Linked DNA regions of Caenorhabditis elegans. The protein of the gene in region 2 interacts with the protein of the main gene of each other region in a pairwise test. Each region holds a gene or a part of one and is shown on either strand. Other genes may lie near its edges.

Region 1 (4,679 bases), on a different chromosome or scaffold from region 2:
TTTAGGCTCAGACTACGCGGGGGAAGGGAGAGAAAAATAAATTCCAAAAAATTGAAAATTTATGAAAAACTAAAATAATTCAAGAAAAACTCCCCGCCACGCCTACCGGACCTTAAATTTTTTGCGTGCAAAGACCCTATAATCAATTACGCCTTGCTTGGGCTCCGCCACGAACACTTTCGCGTCAGAACCAAAACCTAGTAATGATTATACTTATTTTAAAGGTCTCAGCGTACTGAATTCAAAATTTTCACTACAATTTTGAGCTTTCTAGGGATATATTGAAATGTTCAAATTTTTGAATTTTTTTTTCAAAAATTGTAGAAAAAAGGCTTTAAAATACGAAAACTGTTAGCCTTGGCAAAGCAAATATTACTCATTACGCTATTAAATCATGAATTTATGTGTATATGCAAATCGGTGCGCATACACACACAGACACACAAAAATGGGAAAAGGGCGACACAATAAAAATAAGAAGATGATGAGAGGGGAATACAAAACTCACAATTTGAACCTTTTGCAGATGCTTATCCGTCCTTGTGTGTAGTTGAAAATTGGCTTTCAATGTGGTATTATACGGGCACAAGTGGCACCGGAAGCTCCCGTTTAGGACGGTAACGTCTCCTTGGAACGTCCTGGAACGGTCTTGTTCCACGTGTTCCATCATTTCGGCGATAGATTCGGTGGCGAAGATACCGCAGATCAAGCAGACCAGGGATCCGTCGGACTCTTCGATTGGACTACTTCGGCTAACTGGAGCACCACACGCGAAGTTGGCTGCGAATTCTGGAAAATTCAGGATATTTTTGAATTAAAATAATAAAAATCTTAAATCTGAATTCAGCTTAAGGCCTTTCAAATAAGTATAATCATGACCCATTTGGGTCCCACCACGAAAACACGGGATTCTGGTCTTCCTCATGTTTTAAAACAAAAATTGAGCCGCGACACGCAACGCGCCGTAAATCTACCCCAGATATGGCCGGCCTAGTTCGGCAAAAACTCTTCCATTTCAATTTATGAGAGAAGCCAGAAAACTACAGTACCCTCTCCCCCATTTTCGTGCCGAGACCCGGGAAATTTGGGTCTCGACGCGATTTTTATTGATTTCGATCTAAACTCAATTTTCTCAGTCTTTTCAAAATAAAACCAATTTATTAAAAAAATCAGAAAAGTTAGGGGCTTTAATCCAAATATAATCACGTCCATTTTTGGACAAGTGGGTCCCACCACGAAAACTACAGTACCCTTTGAGTGTAAGACCCACAGAACGTCAAATTAAAAAAATACTGTAAAATCGAATTTAGCTCACTGAGAACTCTAATTTGAGTATCATTTTTTAGGGTTCAAAAAAGTTGGCGTAAGTGTTTTTGCGTGGCGAGACCCTAGAATCGAAAAGTTCGAGTTCAACAGTTAAATTCTTGTGAAATTCAAATTCTTGGGTCCCACCACGAAAACTACAGTACCCTTCGCCTCCCCCCCCCACCTACCTATACTATTCGGGAGCTCTTGCACTGCATGAAGATGCTTATCACTTTGCATATGAATACTCAAATTGCCCTTTGTCGTCGTACTGTACCGACACAAATCGCATCGATATGGCTTATAACCGCACGAGTACGTCTCACCGCGAGCCAGCTTCGGGTGGGGACGGTTCTCGGCACAAAACATGCACTTGACATCCACATCGTTGTGCTTCTCCTTCATATGAATTTCAAGGGTCTCCTGGTACTTGTAGTGCCAATTACACTTTGGACATTTCAGCGTTTTCGACGAATTTCGGAGTGATGAGAATTGGGAAATGTCGGCGAACGCGCCGAGCGTCGGATCGAACGGAAACGAGGAGGAGAGGCTCGCCTCGTCGAAGCCTGACGCGGCGAGAATCCGTCCCAGCTGACATTTTGTGTTTTCGTTGGCTGAAATTTTTCGGGAAATTGCGGAAAAAATTTGATCTATGACCTACCAAACATCTGAGCCGTCGAAGGATCCGTAAGAAGTCGCATTATCTCCGCAGAATCTGGCATCATTGGTGGTGATGTTTCTGAAAGAGAGAACTTTAGTTTTTTAGTCCTATGGAATGTGGTTCTTCCGCCGCGGCTGACACTTTTCGGGCTCCACGCGCGGCACTATACACGGGGTTCTGGCCTTCCTTATTGAATTTTTCGCGCTCCATTGGCAATCGCCCGCCGGTCAACGCGTGGGCAAGTCGTGCACTCCACACGGACAAATACATTTAGTTTTACAACTAAAATCGAGCCCAGATGTGACCGAGCCAAGATGGCCTAGTTCGGCAAAAACTCTTCCATTTCAATTTATGAGGGAAGACAGAAGGCCGTGACTATACAGAAGGCGCGCCGCGAGTTAGGCGGAGGTCGCCGCAAAACTGGAGCAGCAGGCGTTTTGGAGGCCCTAGGCGCGCGCGGAACCCTGTACATGTCGGACCATGGTATCAGTTTCGCTATCTCTAGTGCACATTTAAAGCACATATGTACCTCCATCTTGAGAAAGAAATTTCATCTTGCAAGGAATCGAACCCCGGACCTATTGTTTAGAGCTGAAGCGTGTTAACCACTAGACTACAAGCGGCGCGACATGATTCTGGCGGTACTGTAAATTAAATACCACGACAATGCAAATGCGCTCTAGCGACGAACTCTAGTTTCAGAAAGCCAGGAGGTTCAAGGTACACGTGGTGTCAGAGTATGATCTACGTAGATCTACAAAAAAATGCGGGAGAAAAGATTTAAAAACTTGCTTATGTCACATTTTTTGGGGAAAAAATCCCGCATTTTCTGTAGATCAAAAAGCAATGGGACAACCTGGCACCACGTGAAGGTAACGTACCTTTGAAAATGATTTAAAAAAAAAGAAGTCTTGGCCTAAAAATTATCGGTCCCCCGGCCAAACTCACCCCTACTCTCCGTAGACTCTGAACTTGTCGGCGGTTTGTTGTTGTCATCCATTGTCAAAAGTGCCACGTCCATTCTACCATTTAGCCAATATATGGGCGGGGCAACTCTGGAAATTTTTTTGGATGAATTTGTGAGGAAAAAGTGAAAAAAAAATTTAAAAAACGCGAAAGTTGGAAAAGTGGAAAGTTTGAGAGTGATTTAAAATCTAATGAGTCGCAAATGAGAGAGAGAGAATCGGGGCGGGGGGGGAAGCGCGGAGCTCGCCCCACCACCACCACATGTGCTTGCAATTAATTAAATTTTCGAGGGAGCGGGGAGCCCAGGAGAGCCATCCCCGGAAGCTAAACTTCATAAACTTCAAATGAGCACTGAGAGTTGAGTTGACACCTGTGTTGTGAATGAATGTGAGGAGAGGTATTCGGGGGATAGTTACAACAACAATTACACAACACTGACAGGGGACTACGGTAACCATATGGAGGAGCTGGAGGAGCACACAAAACTTGAGACAATGTTCCCCGCATATGTTAGGGGGGTGCCGACACTCTCAGAAAAAAAAAACGGGGGACACTTTGTTTCTAATGGTGTTTCGCGTTTATTGGGTGATCATTGTGGAGATTCACACCTGCAGTTCTGACTACTGATTCATAAGATCACGGGAGCGGAAGCAGCAGCAGCGCAAGGGGTGTAAGAAAAATCATAACTTTGGGGTATGAAAATGGGATAAAGGAAACGGCAACGACAATTGTAGAACGAAAGTCGGAGGCCTAGGCAGGCGTGGCCTCAGGGCCTGATGCCTGCATTTTGGCATGAACTTACAAAATTTTGTAATTTCCGTATTTTTATCAATTTGATGAAAAACATTTTAAGAGATAAGGCTCGGATTGAGGCGAGAGGCAGGCGGAGGTCGCCTTAAAGTCAGGCAGGCAGGCAGAGAACGTCTGAAAGTCAAGCAGGCAGGCGAAAGTCGCCTGAAGGTCAGGCAGGCAAGCGTTTTAACGCCTACTTAAAAACCCTATTCAAGAGCTAGTTTATGAAAACTTTCTTCAAAACTCAAGTTTTACAAATTTTCTGAACATTTTTGAAACGAAAAATGGTTTGAATTTTTTAAAGCTGATTCTGTATGATCTACGTTTTGAGAAAAAAAATTTAATTTTTTCGGATTATTTTTTGAATATTATTTTAAATTTTATAGCAACTCTAAAAATTCGATATTTTTACAGATTTTCAGAAAAAATAGTAATTGCAAAAATTTTTAAGCTTTTTAAAAATGGCTTAGGCTTAGGCTTAGGCTTAGGCTGAGACTCAGGCTTAGTCTTAGGCTTAGGCTTGAACTCAGTCTTAGTCTTAGGCTTAGGCTTAAGCTTAGGTCTCAGCTTCGGCCCAGGCTTAGGCCTAGGCTTTGGCTTAGGCGTAGGCTTAGGCTTGGCGTCAGTGGGGGAGCGTGAGCTCCCACACTGACGCTATTTAGGGTTATTAGGCTTAGGCTCAGGCTTAGGCTTAGATAAACAAACATTTTTTTAAAATAAAAATTTAAAAATATTTCACTGAAAAACTGTTCAAAAAAGTTAAAGAAAAACGTTTTTTATCTGAAAAATTTTTTTAGGCTTAAAACAACTTTTTTGACTAATGTCTATTTTTTTTTGATTATATTTACAAAAAAAATATGGCTGAGCTCAAATTTTTAGGTCTGCAAAAAAAAGGATCCCCAGAAAAAGTGAGAATGAAGCGTGAGAGGAGCAATAAAATGGGCGGGGCGCCACA
Region 2 (7,894 bases):
GTTAAGCCTCAGTAATAAATCCATGTATTTCTTTCCTCTTCCATCTGTTTTTTTTTCGTATTCCTCACTTTCGCTTTTCCCATTTTTAGATATCCTATAAATTATCAAAAAAAGTTCAACTAATAAAATATTGTCCATAATTACGTCTACTTGTATTTAACTGTTTAAGTTGCTTACCAGTGTCATGACAAGAAATACAGCGGCCGACATCTCGTGAGCCCGTTTTTGACAACTTTTACTGATTCGGCCGTATCTCGAAAACTAATTTTTTTCTGGAAATGTTTTTGAAGAAAAATAATCTTCATACTACTTGCCATCATTTGTGCCTACTCACTTTGTTTTGAAAAATTCAGCAAAAAAGTTATGGAAGTGCAAACTAGTCCCTCACTTGGCACTGCTCATGCTGTACAACCAAAAATCAGGTTACTTACTTCGAATATATTTTTTTCGAGCATTTTTTAATAATTACAAATGTAAAATCACAATTAAACTTTATTTAAACACGATATCAAAATTCAGGGAAAAAAAATTCTTCACTTGCGAGAAATGCTCTAGTTGTAGTCGTACACTATTCAAGTTTAATCTATCATAACTTTTTTGCTGAATTTTTCAGAACAACGTGAGAAGACACACATGATGGCAAGTAATATGAAGATTATTTTACTTTGCCAACACTTACAGAAAAAAAAGTTTTCGAGATACCGGCAAATCAGTAAAAGTTGTCAAAAACGGGCTCACGAGATGTCGGCCGCTGTATTTCTTGTCATGACACTGGTAAACAACTTAAACAACTGAATACAAGTAGACGTAATTATGGACAAAATTTCTTGAGTTGAATTTTTTTCGATAGCATGTCCAGTTTTTAAGTTGTGCTCGTTTGAAAAACTTGTAAATTTATCAAAAATCGAAAATTGGATAGAATTATGGCCGGCACTGTATGTAAGACCTTCAAAACGTGCTCCTCTAATCCGTTGCTGTTCGGTACTCTTGTTACGTGTTAAGTTGGGACAAGTTTCCTAGCTACTCATAGTTTGTCTGCACTCTCCTAGTGACGAGAAAAAGATGAAAAGATAATCTCTCAAGGAAAAGCAGATTAATCAACAAAGCGCAGCAGAACTTTCAAATTCATTTTAGTTAATAAGTATACGATTTCCGGTGACCGAATATATGTAGTTGGTTTGTGTTGTATTTTGAATTCTGGTATATAAAATATAAGTAATAATATATAAGTAACCGTTTGAAATTGGAAAATTTTTTCGACGCAAACTTTGCCAGTGATATGTTCAATGAAACATGCTAGTTTGAAAAAATTAAGCATACAAGCACATTCCTATAAATAATTTGGTGGCCACCTTCTGTTATGTTTTATCAAAAATTAGACCTCCCGGCTATTTTGTTACAATCGAGCAGACACCCCCCCCCCCCCCCCCCCACGACACCTGTTCTCTTTGAGCACTCCATAACGTGGGAAGGCACATCTTGCGTCATATGTGACCCGACAGTCTCCTACAAAAATATGGGAAACGGGGCAGATTGAGTGATGATGTAACTTGTTCTGCGCAGTCTTCTCTGCCTGTTCTCGACCTTTTTGCGAGGATTGGCTCCAACATACGTTTTGCACCACTTCTCGATGTTTTTTAGTTTGTTTTTCAAAATTAACATATAGTTTTTCATCAATTTTAGACAAAACTAATTCATTCAATTAATTTTAACATGAAATGAAATATTCAGAACTTAACTTTAGTTGTTTTAGAATAATAGGGTATGCATTGTTAAAATTACAAAAAGTGAGATTTATATCCAAGTCTTTAAATTTTATTGTATTGCAGTTTTGGGATTATTTTAGATTTTTATTAGGAAATGCATGCAATTTTTGCAATTATTGATAGATGTACAGTTTTTAGTGTGTGTGTGTTTTTTGTTAATTTCGAGGATTAATAGAAGAAAAATCCTCTTTAAAATTTGAGTTCACACTTTTTTCCACTAGCAATATTAATTTTGAATATTTTGATCACGAGCAATAATTTTTTCAGGATTTTTTCAAAAGATGGATAGCGGTGGCCAAGGTTCAGGTTCACAAGACCAATTCGAAAAAACAGAACAACTCGTTGATGCACAATATCCAGTTCCGACAACATTGAAGCCAGATTTTTTCACAGGTGAACATTTTAATTTTGTGTTAATAACACGATCATACAATAAAAAAGGTTTGTAAACTGACAGGAGACGGAATTTTCATATCGAGAAATTAAAAAAATCCTTTTTTTCAATGTAAAAAATCTATATTTGAAATTGATTTTCATATGACTAGTTTTTTTTTCAAGCGAAGCATTATATTATTCTTTATATACATTTAAAGGTGGAGTACTGCCAGTGGAGAAATTGTTAAAAACCACTCGTTTGGTCACAAAATGACCAAATATCATGATAAAACTTTTCAAAAATTTTTGAAAATTTATTATTTACTGTCAAAAAGTGGCAATTACTCAGTTTTTGCCACTCATAATTTTCGAAGTCGACCAAAAAAACAATTTTTTCGACATTTTTTATGTTCTAATTTTGTTTAAATTATTTTTATTAAAATATTGTAGGGGTCGCAACATGCGGCATTTCTTTAAATTTCCTCAAAAGCTAGTAGATTCTCCAATTGTCAGCACAAATGATTCTGAACCAATTAATGAACAAGTTTATTCAACACAAAGTAATCATGGCGAGCTTCAAGATAAAACCGAGATTGATGAAAGAAATCGAGTGGATCAGTGCTTCGATAATGATCAACCATTTAACGGAAACAATTCAAAACTGTTAGAATCCGAGTCTCATAAACTGGGAGAGTCGTCAACTGAACCTTCAGGAACAACAATATCATCAGGAAATTATGAAATTGCTGAAGACTGCTCGGATGAGACAGAGCAATTCATCGATCCAGACAATCAAGTTCCAGCAGCAAATTTTATTACCAGTAAGCTTAAGATTTCTTTGAAAAATGTGCTCATTCAAACATTTTCTTCATGCAACTTTTTTAGTAACTTTTTCGGATGGGAACTGAAAATTATAAAACTGTGTTGCGTGTTTGCAGAGATTTTAAATATTGGGCTAATTTTTTTCTAAACAAAATGTTTTTTGAATTAATCGTTTTCATTTTCAGACGACTGCACAACAATTGAACAAACTGCAAAAATTCAAGAAGAAAGCGGAACAGATTCTTTGATTGTCAGCACAAATGATTCTGGTTCAACTAATGAACAGATTTTGCCAACACAGAGCAATGATGCTGACTTTCGTGAAAGAATTGAAATTGACGGAAGAGATCAAGTGGATCAGCATGGCAACAGTTATCCACCAATTAGTGGGAACAACTCAAAATTGAGAAAATCAGAGTCTCATGAACAGGGAGAATTTTTAGTTGGACCTTCAAGGAAAAGAAAGCCAGAAACACTAATTGAAACAAAGAGTAAGAAAAGAAAATCGGCGAGAGGAAGACCATCTAATAAGTTGAATCAATTTCAAATACATCAAGTTAGTAGTGACTGGAACGCGAACGCATTTCTTCAGTTTGCTCGACGAGACGCAGCTGGTACGATTCTAGAGTCGGAAGAAGCGAAAAAAACCATCGATGCACAGTTGGAACACTTTTCGGTATGTTGTTTCAATTAATATTAAAAAAAAAAAGAAATAGCACTTTAATAGTGTTGTAAACCTACTGACCCTACTGATAATGAACATGAAATTTCAATATAAACGAAATGTGGCTCAATTTTAAAATATAACGTTTAAATGTCAAACGCTATGTCAAACTTAAGTTATAATCAAAAAATTATTTTTTTTCCAGAAATTTCCTAATTCTTTTGGAATCGCATTAAAGATAGGAACAATTTAATAACTTTTTAATAATTTTCTAAATGTTAGAAAAATAAATAAATGAATTAAACTATTATACACACTACCAAGTATGCTCGTTGATATCATAAATTTTTACATATGCATTGTAAACATAAAACAAAGACCAATTTGAAAAGTTCAAATTTTAACACAGAACTTAATAGGGAGTTTTTTAAAACTATGTATAAAATGCGATCGGTGCGATCGGAAAAAAGTTGAACGTACTATTTTATAGCAGACATTTTGAGCTCGCATAATTGATAATTGTTTTCAGCGAAAAACTCAAACTTTCAGGTCAAAATTTTTTGTCTAAGACAGGACGTTGTAGGACGTTGTCAAAGCAAATTACAAATTATGTATATGCTTTTAACAAAACTTTAAAATATTTGCAGGAGCCCTCGTGCTCGACGGATGTTTCGGTTCATGTTGTCAGAGACAACGAGAATCTGGGCTTGGTGACAAACAAACTCCGATCGCTAGCCATTCCACCAATATCCAACCTTCCCAGTGATCTGCCTTCATTATATAAACTCCCGAAACTGTTTCTAACCGGAGCGACTTTTATGGACGTCTCAAAATCAAAAGGAAAACAAGTTATTACGAAAGCAAGCAAATGGATCAAATCTGGCAAAAATCTCGTATACGAAACATCTGGCTGTTCTGAACTATTTGATGAAACAACAAAATTCAACACTGATGGAAAGATTGAAGAAAACACAAGTGAAGAATACACAAATAAAGATCAATACAGGTTACCTGTTCCTATCTATAATATTGAGAACAACAGCGATGAAACATCAAATTTTATTAAAAATATCGTCAATACCACAACCATGTGCATCTTTCGAGGAATCGAAGAAGCATTTGGGATGGATCGCCAAACGTTTGACATCTCCACATTGGCACCTCTCTACCCCGATTACCCATTGAAAATTCGTCGACAGATGCCCCAGTCATCAGCAACCAATTTCTACATGAATGACAAAAATACCGTGCAGAGATTGGGAAATGCCTGGGCTGTCTTCGATTTTGAAGGAGTTACTCAGTTGAGAGATTTTGCGAAGAATTATGAAAGCCTTAAGGATATAGGAAGGTCAGGTACGTTTTTGAACTGTTTTTTTTTAATTCTTATTTAGCGAAAGATATTTGAGTTTTATAAGAAAATAAGTATCTTATAAAACCCAATTTCAAAATTTTTAAAGATTGGTCTAAAATTCCAGTCAGCTTTGAAAACCAAATTAGCGAAAACTTTTCAAAAGATTTCCAGGAGTTTTGAGCAAAATAAAGCAACGTCGCAACCATTTGAACCTCAATGGCATCCCAATGAAAATATTTGAAAAATATTTAGATTTTGAAATTCGTATAAAAAAAAGCACTTACTTCATTGTCGACCTTTAAATTATGGGTAATCAGAACTGAGTTCTCGCCAATTTTTGACTCTTAATCAACCCACTTGGGAACTTTTTTGATAAGTTTTAATAAAAACTAGAGAACTTCCAAAGTTTATAAAAATCATTAAATTTGTTCACCTTTCATTTTTCAGCTTACCAAGCTATCCTACGCAATCCTTCCGCATTTTCGGAAGTAATGGATGACATGAAGAAGCAAATCAAGGAAAATACGATCCCACTCAGTCCTGAACACAAACTTACAGTCCATGAAAATGCGACAGTGTTGGCATTTGGAACTAATATTGATCTGGATGATCAGCGATTCAAGGAACAGCTCGATGTATGTCGTTTAAAGTTAACGGTAGATAAATAATCATTATTTTCAGGAGATCAAAAAATTGCCTGATTGTTTGAGACCCGACGGAGCCGGGAATCTTCTCAACTTTGCTCAAGAGTCACTTGCAGGTCTGAACAAACCTCAAGTTTATTGCAAGCCTCCCGGAGCAAGAACCACAGCTCACCTGGAGAACCAAGCTCTCGGGTCCATTAACATTAATCATGGACCAGGTGATTGTGTTTGGTACGGAGTGCCCATGGAGTACAGTGGCAGAATGGAGGTGCTGATCAAAAAGCATCGACTTAATGTTTATAAAAGCGGGTACTGGCCAAGTGAGCAGGAATTAAGAAATGAAAAGATACCATCGCAAAAGTTTCTACAAAAGCCTGGAGACATGGTGTACGTCGGTATTGGAACATTTCATTGGGTGCAATCTAATGATTTTGCAATAAACGTCTCCTGGAATGTTGCACAACCAACTTTTAATCAACTGGCTGCTGCAATGGTCATTCACGATCACAACATCTCGAGTAAAGCAACTACTCTCATGCCTATTGAGCCAATTGTCTGGAAAATGGCTGAAGATGGAGTGGAGGCAGAGGATGAGAATATTTTCCTGGCTCGAAAGGCTATAATGCTAAAGTACGGTTTCGTCACAGAATCATAATACTAGATAACTAATTAATTCAAAATTACAGAAGTTTGGCAAAAAGCCAGTTTGAGTTCGATTTCGCCATTCAGGAAAATATGCTCATCAGATCAGCAAAAAACGAGAAATCGATCATCCCTGTTGAGCGATGCTCTATCCAAAAATGCCGGGAAGTTCTGTTCAATATGATCACACTTGACAATAAGCAAAATCCATTCTGCCTTAATTGCATAGTTAAAGGGTGAGTTGCATTTTGTGAAGAGTGATAACTGATAAATGCGGAAGAAGGGATGTATTGTTTACTCATCATAGAAAATTTTTTTGTATTTTTTTTTTCGAATTATCATTTTTTTATTGCATTTATCGGTCGTTTATCCAACGTTTTTTCGTTGAATAACGTATATTCAAACCCGATGGAAGGCCATTTTTTGGTGATTTTTGGTTAACTATCTTGAGATTATCTACCAAAACATGCAATTAAAAAACAAAAGCTCAAAAAAGTCAAATTTGTGACCGTTGCGTCACGGAAAAATCTCCCAAATTAGAGAATTTTTCGTACGAAATTTGTTTATTTGAGTGCATTTTAAGTATATATGTTCAAACATGTAGACCACTTTTATTTTGGTTAAAAAAGTAAAAAACACACGAATAGCAAGATAAAAATAGTTTAATTGGTGTCAAAGTGTCGCATTTTGGTTTCTTCGGGAAATGCGAGAGAAGAGACGGAGATTTTTCAGCTGATTTCGCATGGCTATACGTGTGCTGACGTTACATTTTTCTGGAAGAGAAATTCCCGCATTTTTGTAGATAAAACCGCAATGAAACAGCCTGACACCACGTAATAATCTAATATTTAATTTTCCAGAAAAGTCAAAGCAACAGCATTTCAAAGGCGGGACATTGCTGACTTGGTGAAGATATTTGACGAGTTTAAATGGGTGTCCTGAAACTTTTCTTTTTTTCAACTTTCGATCCTCAATTTTCACAGCTTTCTTTTGTATTATACAATTCTTGCACATTTTGAATCACTTATCGTTTTATTGATCTTGTTTTGATTTTTTATTATGCAACATTTTTCGATATGATCAATTCTGTTTAATAAAGTCCAACTTACTAATTATAAAAAAAATTTATTCTTACATACAAAAAAGAAATCGAAAATGTTTAGTTGCATGGGTTGACAGATGGACGTGCTGTGGCCATTGGCATATTATCTGAAAATAGGAGTTTTTGATTTTGTATGCAATTATTTTGAAATTACTGAAATCCTCTGGGTCTTGTGGGTAGCGAAAATCTTCAGCGTTATCAATATTTGGAATTGGTGCGGACAGAGAGATCCCAACGAGCAAAACCATGAAGAGAGTCAAGAAAGACAGTAGGAAACGAAACATTTTCTGAAAGATGAGATTGGGTTAGGAAAAAAAGAAACACGAGGAGTTCGGTGAAGAAAAATCAGACAATGACGAAAAGATGTTTTCAATGTTATCACACAAAATGTTGAGGTTGAAGCAACTGCGGCGGCAGTTGTCAATTTTCCCGGTGACATGTAAATAAAAGAGTTGGTGAATCATACAATTTGATTTCTAGAGAAACGATTGAAAATATATTCTGTTTAGAAACCTGACTTAAAATCAA
Region 3 (6,057 bases), on a different chromosome or scaffold from region 2:
TGATTACCTATCGGTTTAATTAACGAAATAAAACAATAAAAAAATAAAAATAAAATACCAAAAAATGCAATAAAAGACGATAATTCCAAAAAATTCAACATCGGACAGATGCGACACAGAAAAGTAAGCAAAGTTTGAGATGCTAGCTATAATCAGTGTACTTTTTCGAAATTTTGAACCGCCATAAATTTTGAGAAGTTTTTTGAAATTCGAGGAGCAACAAATAATAACTTAGGAGTGTTGCCTAGCACACCGAATTTTAGATAGTGACAAGTGTCACTTCTACAGTTTATAATAAATTAATGGCTACAAAAAGTCAAGAATGTAAATATTTGGAATTGTTTAAAACTCATTCATATATTCCGAGTTAAAAAATTCAGGTTTAATTCTTTTAGAACTATTATAAAGTGCAAAATATTACAAAGTTGGTTACAGATCTTATTATATTGTGTACTATAATATATCAAATACATATATTTCTGAACCATTTAGAAAAAAAATGTCAAAAAAGTACATAAAATGCATACACAATATTTATTGTCAAAATAAGAATTTGTAGAAAAATCATCAATGATAAGTTGAAAAACTATCAGGAAATATACACGCACCCGCAGATGAATAACCTGATAGGGGATTGAGGTAGGGAGAATGAAAGCTTAAGAGATAGATCAAGATGAATGGGTGGTATAGAGAACCGATTTAAAGCTAAGGAAAGAAAAATAAAGCAATTTCAAGAACCTAGAGAAACATTCAAATAAATAGAAGCTTTGAAGTAACGACTGTAAATTTACAACAAAAGTGCGTAAACAACACTAATCTTTTTTTAAGCGTCCGGTATATGAAATACAAACAATTTCATACTTCAATGGTTGAATCGCTTTTAGAATCATTAGAATCATTAGTTTCCGTTGAATCGTTTGACTCGCAGGACACTTCAGAATTTGCTGGTGAGATTTTGGAGAAGAGGAGAAATCTGAGCTGCGCGGCCTCTTGCTCTAAGCTTGAGACCTTTCCACGTAGTTGCATGTTTTCCCGTTCTAAAGCATGAGCTTTTGATGCGATTTGTTCTTCTTTTTGACGACGTGCGTCTCTCGAACGTTTCGCTGCATCGTTGTTTTTGCGCCGACGCTCGAAGTATGCAGAGTCCTGTAATTGCTGAGATTAATTGTGATTTGTTAAGTTTTCAGAAACTAGGAATTTATTAGTCTACAAAAGTAATACACAATTTGCGAAAAGCCTATCAACTAGGAATTAATAAATCTCTAAGCACAGTTAGCCTAGCAAAGAATCATAATTCTATTAGGGTGATAAATAAGTTTTGTCGTTTTTTTTTCAGTTTTGATTTTTTCTAGGATATTTTTTGTGGATATATAGAAGACAGTTAGAATGACAAGCCTATCAATATCAGCCATGATGGGCACCGTTAAGATTATTTCCAACTCCGTTCTCTGCCGATCAAAACATTTAATTTTTCCGATTTTTGTCATTTCTTTGGGAAATCGAAAACTTATACACCCTCAGGTAATAGACTATTAGTTTAGCACATTAGTGTAATAACATCCTCATACATAGCGTATCGATACAACAATATCAGTTGAAAGTGCCGAAAATGCTTGCAAACATGACTTTTTAAACTTTGAACGACGCTAACTCCTGAAACGTAAAAGATATGAAAAAATGATCAACTACAAAATTAACAAGCATTTCAAGCACTACAATGTGTTAGTTGATGACTGTTCTGTATCTTTTGTTGTTTTTGAGTTAGGGTCAGTTGAAGTACGCTAGGCCGAAATTTTGATGATACCATTTTTCCCCATTTTTCCATGTAGCTTCAAGATAAATTATTTAGAAGAACTTTTTTAAGCAAAAATACAATAATTAAATAATTTTATACATTTCATTAGTTGTACGTTTTTAATATTTCATATCCCCGAAAAGATATGAAGCACACATACACTACTAGTTATTTCTTATGCGACTTTTTGAGTTTTCATATACTTTATTAAGGAATATGCCAAAGTTATTCCGTTTTATAAAACAAGAGCTACACATTATCGCAAATCCCATATTAAATATCAAAGGAAAAGTATCTCATATTCACGTAAGTTTATTCAAAAAATCGGTGTGACAGTTGTGTTTTGTGTAAGCCTCTCTTCTAACCACCGTATGCCGTTCACCAGAATGAGTGGGTTTTGTTGTGTAAAATGTACGACCCCTCTATATATTTTTCCGTATGTTTTATGCTCGGAGGGGCACCGCCCGTAAAAGAAAACTTAGATGTAATATGCGTTAGGCCAAAAAAGTTTGAGTCTTTTGTTACAGAAGGACATTAAAGTTTCATAAAACGACAACATATACAGTGCCGACCAATATTCTATTCGTTTTCGCTTTTAAGGTGATTTGCTTGAGTTGTTCAAACAAGTATAACTCGAATACGATAACATCTAGCAAAATATTTTTAATTAACAAAATGTTGCCGTTCATTTTGTCTACACTCTTGATGTTGGTTTACATAACTTTATTACGAAAAAAGCTACATCAGCTGAAATCAGCCGGGACTATATTTTGACTAGAATTGCTAAGTGACCCACAACTTTGTGCTCATGAAACAAAGTTTAATAAGAAAATAATTTGCACCAATTTTTCTACACTCTGCCATTTGCAGTTCTGTCATCAATCGACCAGGAAAAATAATACAGAGGATTGAACATGATTCTCAAATTTCTAGATTTTGAGCATGTTTTAAAAATCCTATTAAATAGCTTTATATAATAGTTTTTGTAACGAAAACTTACATCACGAATGTTTGCAACATGTTTGAAATGTTTTTAAACTCAGAACCTAAACAAAAATTTTGCTCGCATTTACAGAAAATTTGGTCAGTTCTGACTTTTGTAATGCATGTTTAGTCATCTGTATAAATTTCCCTGGGCACTTTGTGACAAAACAACAAATTGCAAAAAGTTGAAAATTCTGTGGAAATTATTTTTTTAAATTACACATGTAGAAAAAGTAACCGGTAACATTTTGTTAGTTGAAAATTATTTGTTAACTATTATAGTATTTAAGTAATATGTGTTTGAAAAACTCAGGCAAATGGCCATAAAACCGAAAGCAAATAGAATATTGGCCGGCAACGTGCCACTATGATATTTGGCCATTTCGCACTGGCGCTACGAAAAATTACAATTTTTTTACAAAATGAGAATGTGGGTACTTGTACGACGCAGTAAATATAGCTTACTTAGTATTTGATGCTAGCTGAACAAGAAGTGATGCTGATCTTAATTTTTTGAATTCCCGCCTCATTTGAATAATATAAATGGTAGCCCAAGTCCTCTACGGGGGTATAGTTGCGCAACACCCCTTCCTGTCCGGTCATGCCCCTCTCGTATATTCATATTCAAATTCCTCCACACACATGAAGGTTTCTCTGTCAGGTAGACTGTATGTAATTACCCCTTCTTTTTCTTATGGCAACAGTTGGGTGGTGCTAAACAATGAGCCGAATCTCGAAGAGCTCTTAATTGGAGGCAGTCTGTACCGCATTATCCCAGGAACAACCAGCGGATTTTTGAATTGGGATTGTTAGGAGTAATTATTCATTAGCATAGCTTAGAGACAAAATGGCGTTGACAATGCTCCGCACTAAGAGGAAACTCCAGGAATACGGTAAATAAGGCAACTTATAATTATAATAGTTTGGGTGGGGGCGTTAATACTAGTTGACTTTCACACTATCAAAAATTCTGACACCCATAAACCATCTCCAACAGACACCTCGCGGTCGTCGTTGCGTAACTAACAGGAGTCGTGTTACGTAACTGTAGTGATTTGAACTTAAGACCACGCAAATACGATTTATGAATATTTTTAACCTCATGGTAAGTCTCTATTGGTTTTCAGATTTTTTGGAATTGTATACACTTGAAACTTAAAAAATTGAAACAAACCTTTTTTTCTTCTGGAATCGGAACCGACATCTTTCGTGATGGTGACCGTTGGGGACTTGAAAACTGAAAATAATTCCAATAGTTTTATAAGTGCTAATAATTTTTCCCAACTCACGTGTGAACTGCTAACCGTACTCGACCTGCTTGACACTGGACTGGCACACAATTCATCTTCTAGTTTGATCTTCTTGGTTGGTGTTAAAAGATTTGTCGTGGGCAGTGAGTCAAATGGTAAAATCCCCAACGGAGTGTCCAACTTCTTTCCGCCGGACTGTGCAGCAAGTGCAGTCGTCAGAATAGAAGTTCCGTCGTTGAATGGGAAACCAAGTGAGCCGAGCAGTGGTTGAACGGCTGCTTGATTTGTGAAAAGCGCCGATAGTGCTCTATGAAAGTCCATTGCGTCTGCTGTGATAATTTGGGGCTAAAAAAGACACAGATTTATTAACTATAAGAGAGTTGAAGAGGTAAATGTTTGATTTTCAGTTTAAACTTCCGATGGATAAGCTAAGTGAATAGTTTTAACCCTAGAAGACAAAGGCTAGATGGAAAATTCCCAAAAAAATCCTTTAATTGATGTAATAGGGTACGTCAATATTGAACTTTTGATTAAAACATTTTTAGAGTTTCATAAACTATAAGCTTGAAAATTCAACTATAGACCAGCCATGTTTCAGGTTACACCATCCAATTCCGTTTCAAAAAAAAAACAAAGATATGCCCATGGTAAATTAAATTGAACAGAAGAATATATTGGAAGGTAGAAAAGAAAGAGGTCAAATGTTTGCACAATCATAAAAAAGAGTAAAAGGAAATGGAGGAAAGAGACAATCTAGGATTAGGGTGGAACCTGAATTGGTAGAGGTTGTTAGATAAGCGGTGAGTACTGATAAAGTCAATGTGGATCCTCAAGTTACTTAACAAGTTTGAAAAGTTGTGTTTAATCAAAATAATTGGAATTTTGCTTGTCATATCTTAAAATGAAAAGTTGAAGTAGGCTAATTGTTATTACAAAAGAGTATATAATATAATTCAAGTTTTTAGCTCTAGAATACATTTCTTAATCAAAAATGATCACTGAAGAAAATTCAAGATGCATACGTTAGATGGGGAGGAAATGAAATGACCTCTACAGTAGTCATATTTGAAATCTATATTTTTTTGTGAATAATTTAAGTTTTATCAGAGTATTGTAACTGGAAACATCTTAAGAGTTTTGCGCGATTTTTGTAGTTCAAAGTTACATATGATTTTTTATTAGTAGAATCAAAAACTAAAAAAAAACGAAGTTGTAAGAAATTGGGTCTACTGGGACCACCCTGTTGCCCCATATACCCATCGGAGCATAAGAGTGATTGCGCGTCGGCTGTCTCGAGAAATGACAGGCGGTATGCGGGATGAGGGTGGCAGCATTTTCCGCCCGCCCTCCAAGAGGTCACCACCGGCCATCAGAGGGTGCAACAGTGCGCAACACTAGAGAGCACGGGAAGAGAACGAGACGCAGAGCAACCGTATGCAATGGCATTTGAATATTCGTTTTCTATGAGAGATAGGTGTCTCGTGTGCATTGGAACGTCGGCTCTTCTTCTGAAGAGGAGAATGAGGGGTTGGTGGTAGACATGGAGGAAGAGACAATCATTACGCAAGTATTTGAATGGTAGGTAGTCATTAGGTAATAAGGTTTGTTGGGTTACGGATTTGTTGAAACATTGAATGAATGTTTTGATGCTGTCTGAAATCACCTGAAATCAATGAGAAATGAAGATTTAATTACCAGCAGTCAGTATTCTAAAATTCAGGGTTTTAATTTTATGGCCTTACTTTCAACAATTAAACCCTCACGTTTGAGAGCACATCTTAAAAATTCAATATTAGAGGGATATCATTAATATTACCACCAAGGCTTCACATGCATCCGAAATCACTTCTCTTCATGCAACAATATTCATCCTCCCGACCTTTCATCCTCTTTCAAGTACCATGTGCTCATCGGTCCCTCTTTTGAACTTACGCAATGGCTAGTAATACTGCGTAACTGTTACAAATCTAGCCTACCGGAGGGTATACGGGGCAGTGCTGTGGGGCTCTCGGCTCTCGGCGGAAGCCG
Region 4 (4,898 bases), on a different chromosome or scaffold from region 2:
AATTGGTTGTAAAAACTCTGAAATTAGCGCGAAAATTAACCAATTATGTTTTTTTCCAAAACTTTTGGACTATTTTTCAAGGAATCTTATAAATTTCCAAAACTCACAGTCATATAGCTCATAGTTGCACATCCACTAGTCTCTGTACCCCATGAGGTCTCATCAATTGGACATGGTTTCCGTTCCACAGAGAGAACATTCACGTGGAGCCACATTTCAGAGATGACCGGGCTCACGGAGCACACCAATAATAGTAGAATTCCATAGAAGATGGGCGACGACATTTTAGTGTAGAGTGTGTGTCTGAAAGAAGGATTTTTTGTTGAAAATCAGGAAAAAAAACGGAAAAAAATTAAAAATTATTTTAAAAAAGTTGCAAATAAATCAAAAACTGCCATTTTTTCAATTTTTCGGAGAGAAAATCGAGAAAATGCAACTTTTTCTGCAGAAAAATATTCAAAAATTCAAAATTTTTCCAATTTTTCGGTGTTTTAGAGAAAATTTCAATTTTTACTTCGGAAAAAAATTTTTTCTGCAACTCGAGGAAATCGTTTTTTTAATACGACCAGAAAGGAATTTTAGGAAAATTGGAAAATTCTGAAGCTTTCAGAAAATTGAAAATTGCCAATTTTTTGAAGAGAAAAGCTAAAAAATTAAGATTTTCCCCAAAAAAATATAGGTTTTTTCGAATTTTTAAAAAAATTTCAATTCAGAACCAAACATTTTCGGTGATTTTTCAATAATTATTTTTCGAAATTTGGAAAAATCCAAAAAAAAGTGTGAATTTCAGTGAGAAAAAAAAAGCTAATTTCTGCAGAAAACAGTGAAAATTTGAGAATTCTAGGAAATATCGAAATAAAAAAAAGAATGTCGATTTTATCGGATAAAATAATACATCGACATACTTTGAGAGACTGGAATAAGAATAACACAATGACTGACTAATTGGATGCATGGTCAGGTAGAAGGAGGAAGGGGGTGTCACCTAATTATAGGCGGAGCTGGAATTACAGAGCGTCTCGAGAGATGGTTATCTTGTCGAAGGACGGGATTAGCACCTTTTACAACGTGTAGATGTCTATTGAAAGAACAAAGGATTTGATTTGTGATGGGCTGAAGATTAAGATGTTTATTGCCTTGTTTTGGAGCTTTATCTGGGCAAAAGATAAGATTTTTTTATACAAAATTCGAATTTTTGACGAAAAACGTAATAAATAATTGGATTATAGAGGATTATAGACCCAAAATGTGCTCGAAATCTGAAATTTTGTCCATTTGTCTGAGTTGCAGTAGTTGATGGAAGGTATACCTATTATAATTTGGTAGATGCACAAAAGTTGGCAGGTGTGTGGTGCACACATATCGACCGTAAATGTACCAAAAAAACACAAAAAGTATGCAAAAACAGCTACTTCACTGACAAGTAAACAAAATTTAAGATTTTAGGTTATTTTTTGCGATTTTGATTCTATTTTCAATTGAGGAGCAGTAAATAGCGGTTCTGGGTACTAAAAATGTGCTTATTTTTGTTTATTTTCCGCTTGAATTCATTTTTTCAACCCAGAGGTACCACACAACATCATCTCACTACATTTTTTGTGATATATCAAATATAATATGATTTTAAAAAAATTGAAAATACTTTTAATGGAAAATCTGACAGAAACCAAGATAAAAAACTACAAAAAACTGGGAAGAACTGGGAAAAAATTTTTTAAAAAAGTTTTCTAAAATTAAAACTACAGTACACTTTGTTCAAGGCGCATGTGCCGTTTATAACATCGTGGCGAGACCCTCGCCGAAACTCTGTCCATGCTGCTTATGATTACTGTAGTTTATTTATTGTTTAATTTTCTTAAATCTTTTATTTGTTCAATTTCCTCGTTTTCCTTCGCTTTTGTTCCAATTTTCTGTTGAAAAAAGTATATTCATAACAAAAATTATTTCTTTCTTTCCAAACAAGCCAAAAACAAGGCCATAAACCGGAAATAGCCGACAAAAGAAGTGGAGATGAGTTTTAGGGTTCGAATAGGACTGCCGATGGTTTACAATGCCGATTGTGACTGTGGAGATGGCTGTAAAGGTGCGAATAGTGATTCTTTTCAAGTTAGCCGCTGGAAATTTCTCTGAAAATCTGAAATTTTACCTGAAATCTGAAATTAAATTCAAAGAAATGCGTGAAATTATAAATTTTTATGAATTTTCTTCAATTTCCCCTAAGAAATCAAGATTTTATCCGTAATTTCCGAAATTATAGGAAAAAACCTAATTTTTTTCGGCTTGACGCAACTGCGCTCCATTGCGAATTACGAAGAAATAGTATGTGAATCGAGGAGGGCACAGACAGCTAGACATCATGCTTCTCATGAAAATTCATTCGAATTTCTGCGATTTCTATGACGATTTTTCATTTTTTCTTTGATATTTTAATTTAAAATGCATTTAAAAAATCATTTCTCATTGATTTTCTTAGTTTTCAGAAAATATCAATGCAGAAAAAAGAGAAAGAAGGCCGAAGAAAGCTGAAATACGACTCAAACGACGGTCTTCTGCCGGTAAAATTGGCAAATTTTCACTTTTTCGCCTCAAATTCCAAATTTTTGTAGGAAATTCGCCGAGTTTGCGGTTTTCCACACCACATTTCCGAAGAATTGTCGGCGAGAGGGTCTGGAAAGAAGAAAAAGCAAGTGGAGGAAGAATGGAAATGGCCTGAAGCTCAAATATGCGGAATTTGCTCTGTAAATACATTGATTATTTGGAAAAATATTGGAAAAAACTAATTTTTCCCTGAAAAAGGCAGAAAAATTGCAAAAAATCATCAAATCTTTGAAAATTTCGATTCAGAACTGGAGTTTAAAGTAAAAAAACCAGATAATGCTGAAATTATTTGATTTTTTAAAAAAGTTTTTAGTCCAAAAGAGCTGCAAAATTCGAATTTTTGATGATTTTAGCATTTTCAGAATAAAAATTCCCTTTTAAAAATTTATTATAGGCCTAGGTTCAGGCTTGGGCTTAGGCTTGGGCTTGAGCTAAAGCTTAGGCCTAGGCTTATGCCTTTAGGCTTAAGCTTAGGCTAAGGCTTATGCGTAGGCTTGGGCTTAGGCTTGAGCTAAAGCATAGGCCTAGGCTTAGGCTTAGGCCTAGGTTCAGGCTTGGGCTTAGGCGTAGGCTTAGGCTCATTATATTATTTTTGCAAAATTGGAAAAAAAAATCCCAAATTTTAGAAAAATCTCTCCACTGAATTCATAAATTTTCAATAAAAAAATGCCCAGATTTCCAAATAATTTTCCATGTTTTTTTGCAGTCCGGCGGTAACATTCTATGCTGTGAACAGTGTCCAGCATCCTTTCATCTTGCTTGTATTGGATACGAATCATCCGATCTTCCAGACGACAATTTTTACTGTAATCGATGTAGAAATCTTCCGGAAAACGTTCGGCTCTTTCCACCGGAAAAGTGCTCGCCGTCTGTAAATCCAGTGCTCCGAGTTGAAAATGAAAATCACCGAAATTGGGAAGCTATTGAATATCATTGTAATCGACTTAGAGATGAGGAACAGGCCGAGAAAATGAAAAAAGATGTTGCTTATGGGCCAAAAAGTGAATTTGCAGAAATTCAAGACTGTTTTCGGGATAAAAATCTACTGAAAGCACTTGGAATGGCTAATCCCATGGATGTAAGGGAGTTTTTTCAAAAAAATGAATTAATGCTTCAATTGAAAAATTAATGAAAATCGAAAATTCTGGATTTTTTAAAATTTAATTTTTTTTTTTAATTTTCGATAAAAATAGTTTTAAAAAATGCGAAATTTTATTAGCAGAAAATATTTAAAACACTTTTTCTCCCGAAAAACGTTGAAATTTTCGGCGTTCGATCCGATTTTCGGGAAAAAAGTGAAAAAAAAATTAGAAAAATCGGGATTTTTAACACTGTAGGATAGGATAGAAACAGAAAAAAACACAATTTATTTGCAGAAAAATGTACAAATATTTTTGAGTATTTTCGACCTTTTTTCCTGAAAATTATCGTTCTTGAGACCATTTTTCCGATAAAAATATTAAAAATAACGCTTTTTTAATTCTTGTTTCGAGTTTTTGTGAAAATTCTTTATTTCTGTGTCCTTCAAAAATTTCCAATTTTACAATAATTTTCTCGAGAAACCTAGATATTATTCCAAACATTTATAAATAATTTTTCCAACATTTTTCAGTATACAATACCACCGGAATTCCAAGCAGATCGTGATTGTTTCTCTGGTGATGCAATGGAAGACAAGAGGCCAACTATAATGGGAGAAGTGTGTGCTGAGTGCAATTTGTACGTTTTCGTAGCAAAAATGGACCTAAAGTGCCAAAAAAAAGAGGAGTTTCCTACCAGAAAGTATTGAAATTGAGCGATTTTCTCTCGAAAAATATCCGAAATTTTTCTTCAAAAAAAATCATTTTCGATTCTTAAAATGATCTCAAAATCTGAACTTTTAGATTTTTTTCTGAAAAACACGATAGAAAAATCAAAAAGAAAAATCAAAAATCAAAAAATTTCGTTTTTCGATTTTCCGATTTTCCAAAAATTAGCTTCACATTTTGGACATTATTCTTATTTTTAGAAGAAATTTGGATTTTTTTCTTACAAATATAAGCAAAATTAAATAAAAAATCGAATTTTATGGTTAATTTTCTGAACATTTTTTTCAATTTTTCGATGTTTCGATTTTCACTGAAAAACATCGAAAAATCGAAAAATGGCACCCTTGATCCCTTCTTGAAACTCCAATTATTATTTTTTTTGCAGAAAAGACGACTGGACACGAATGCTAAAATGTGACTTTTGTGATCTAATTTGGCATCAAAAATGTGTTTTTTTTCTGGAAAAAAAGTTTTAGCTAATTCAAAAAGTCA

The links.
Region 1: the proteins of jmjd-3.2 (region 2) and zfh-2 interact in a two-hybrid assay, tested with the Caenorhabditis elegans proteins (one large-scale study listed by BioGRID).
Region 3: the proteins of jmjd-3.2 (region 2) and ces-2 interact in a two-hybrid assay, tested with the Caenorhabditis elegans proteins (one large-scale study listed by BioGRID).
Region 4: the proteins of jmjd-3.2 (region 2) and athp-1 interact in a two-hybrid assay, tested with the Caenorhabditis elegans proteins (one large-scale study listed by BioGRID).

What each region holds. Positions count from the first base shown.
Region 1 is NC_003279.8:801,710-806,388, reverse strand, and holds the start of zfh-2 (Zinc Finger and Homeobox), read right to left. Parts: upstream 3,022-4,679; 5' UTR 2,988-3,021; coding exon 2,915-2,987; intron 2,590-2,914; exon of another isoform or gene 2,517-2,589; intron 2,045-2,516; coding exon 1,967-2,044; intron 1,920-1,966; coding exon 1,494-1,919; intron 790-1,493; coding exon 509-789; intron 1-508.
Region 2 is NC_003284.9:14,446,183-14,454,076, forward strand, and holds jmjd-3.2 (JmjC domain-containing protein), read left to right. Parts: upstream 1-2,027; 5' UTR 2,028-2,047; coding exon 2,048-2,159; intron 2,160-2,722; coding exon 2,723-2,962; intron 2,963-3,148; coding exon 3,149-3,639; intron 3,640-4,274; coding exon 4,275-4,980; intron 4,981-5,425; coding exon 5,426-5,613; intron 5,614-5,659; coding exon 5,660-6,252; intron 6,253-6,308; coding exon 6,309-6,500; intron 6,501-7,124; coding exon 7,125-7,206; 3' UTR 7,207-7,385; downstream 7,386-7,894. Other genes in the region: F23D12.7 (Neuropeptide-Like Protein), read right to left, coding at 7,424-7,473, 7,521-7,650.
Region 3 is NC_003279.8:14,959,820-14,965,876, reverse strand, and holds ces-2 (Transcription factor ces-2), read right to left. Parts: upstream 4,381-6,057; 5' UTR 4,351-4,380; coding exon 4,069-4,350; intron 4,017-4,068; coding exon 3,954-4,016; intron 1,147-3,953; coding exon 856-1,146; 3' UTR 516-855; downstream 1-515. UniProt on the Caenorhabditis elegans protein: Transcription factor. Required to activate programmed cell death in the sister cells of the serotoninergic neurosecretory motor (NSM) neurons. Negatively regulates the activity of ces-1 which in turn negatively regulates the activities of cell-killing genes.
Region 4 is NC_003281.10:10,879,881-10,884,778, forward strand, and holds the start of athp-1 (PHD-type domain-containing protein), read left to right. Parts: upstream 1-1,885; 5' UTR 1,886-2,083; intron 2,084-2,480; 5' UTR 2,481-2,489; coding exon 2,490-2,555; intron 2,556-2,606; coding exon 2,607-2,738; intron 2,739-3,304; coding exon 3,305-3,676; intron 3,677-4,210; coding exon 4,211-4,317; intron 4,318-4,898. Other genes in the region: C44B9.3 (C2 domain-containing protein), read right to left, coding at 108-215.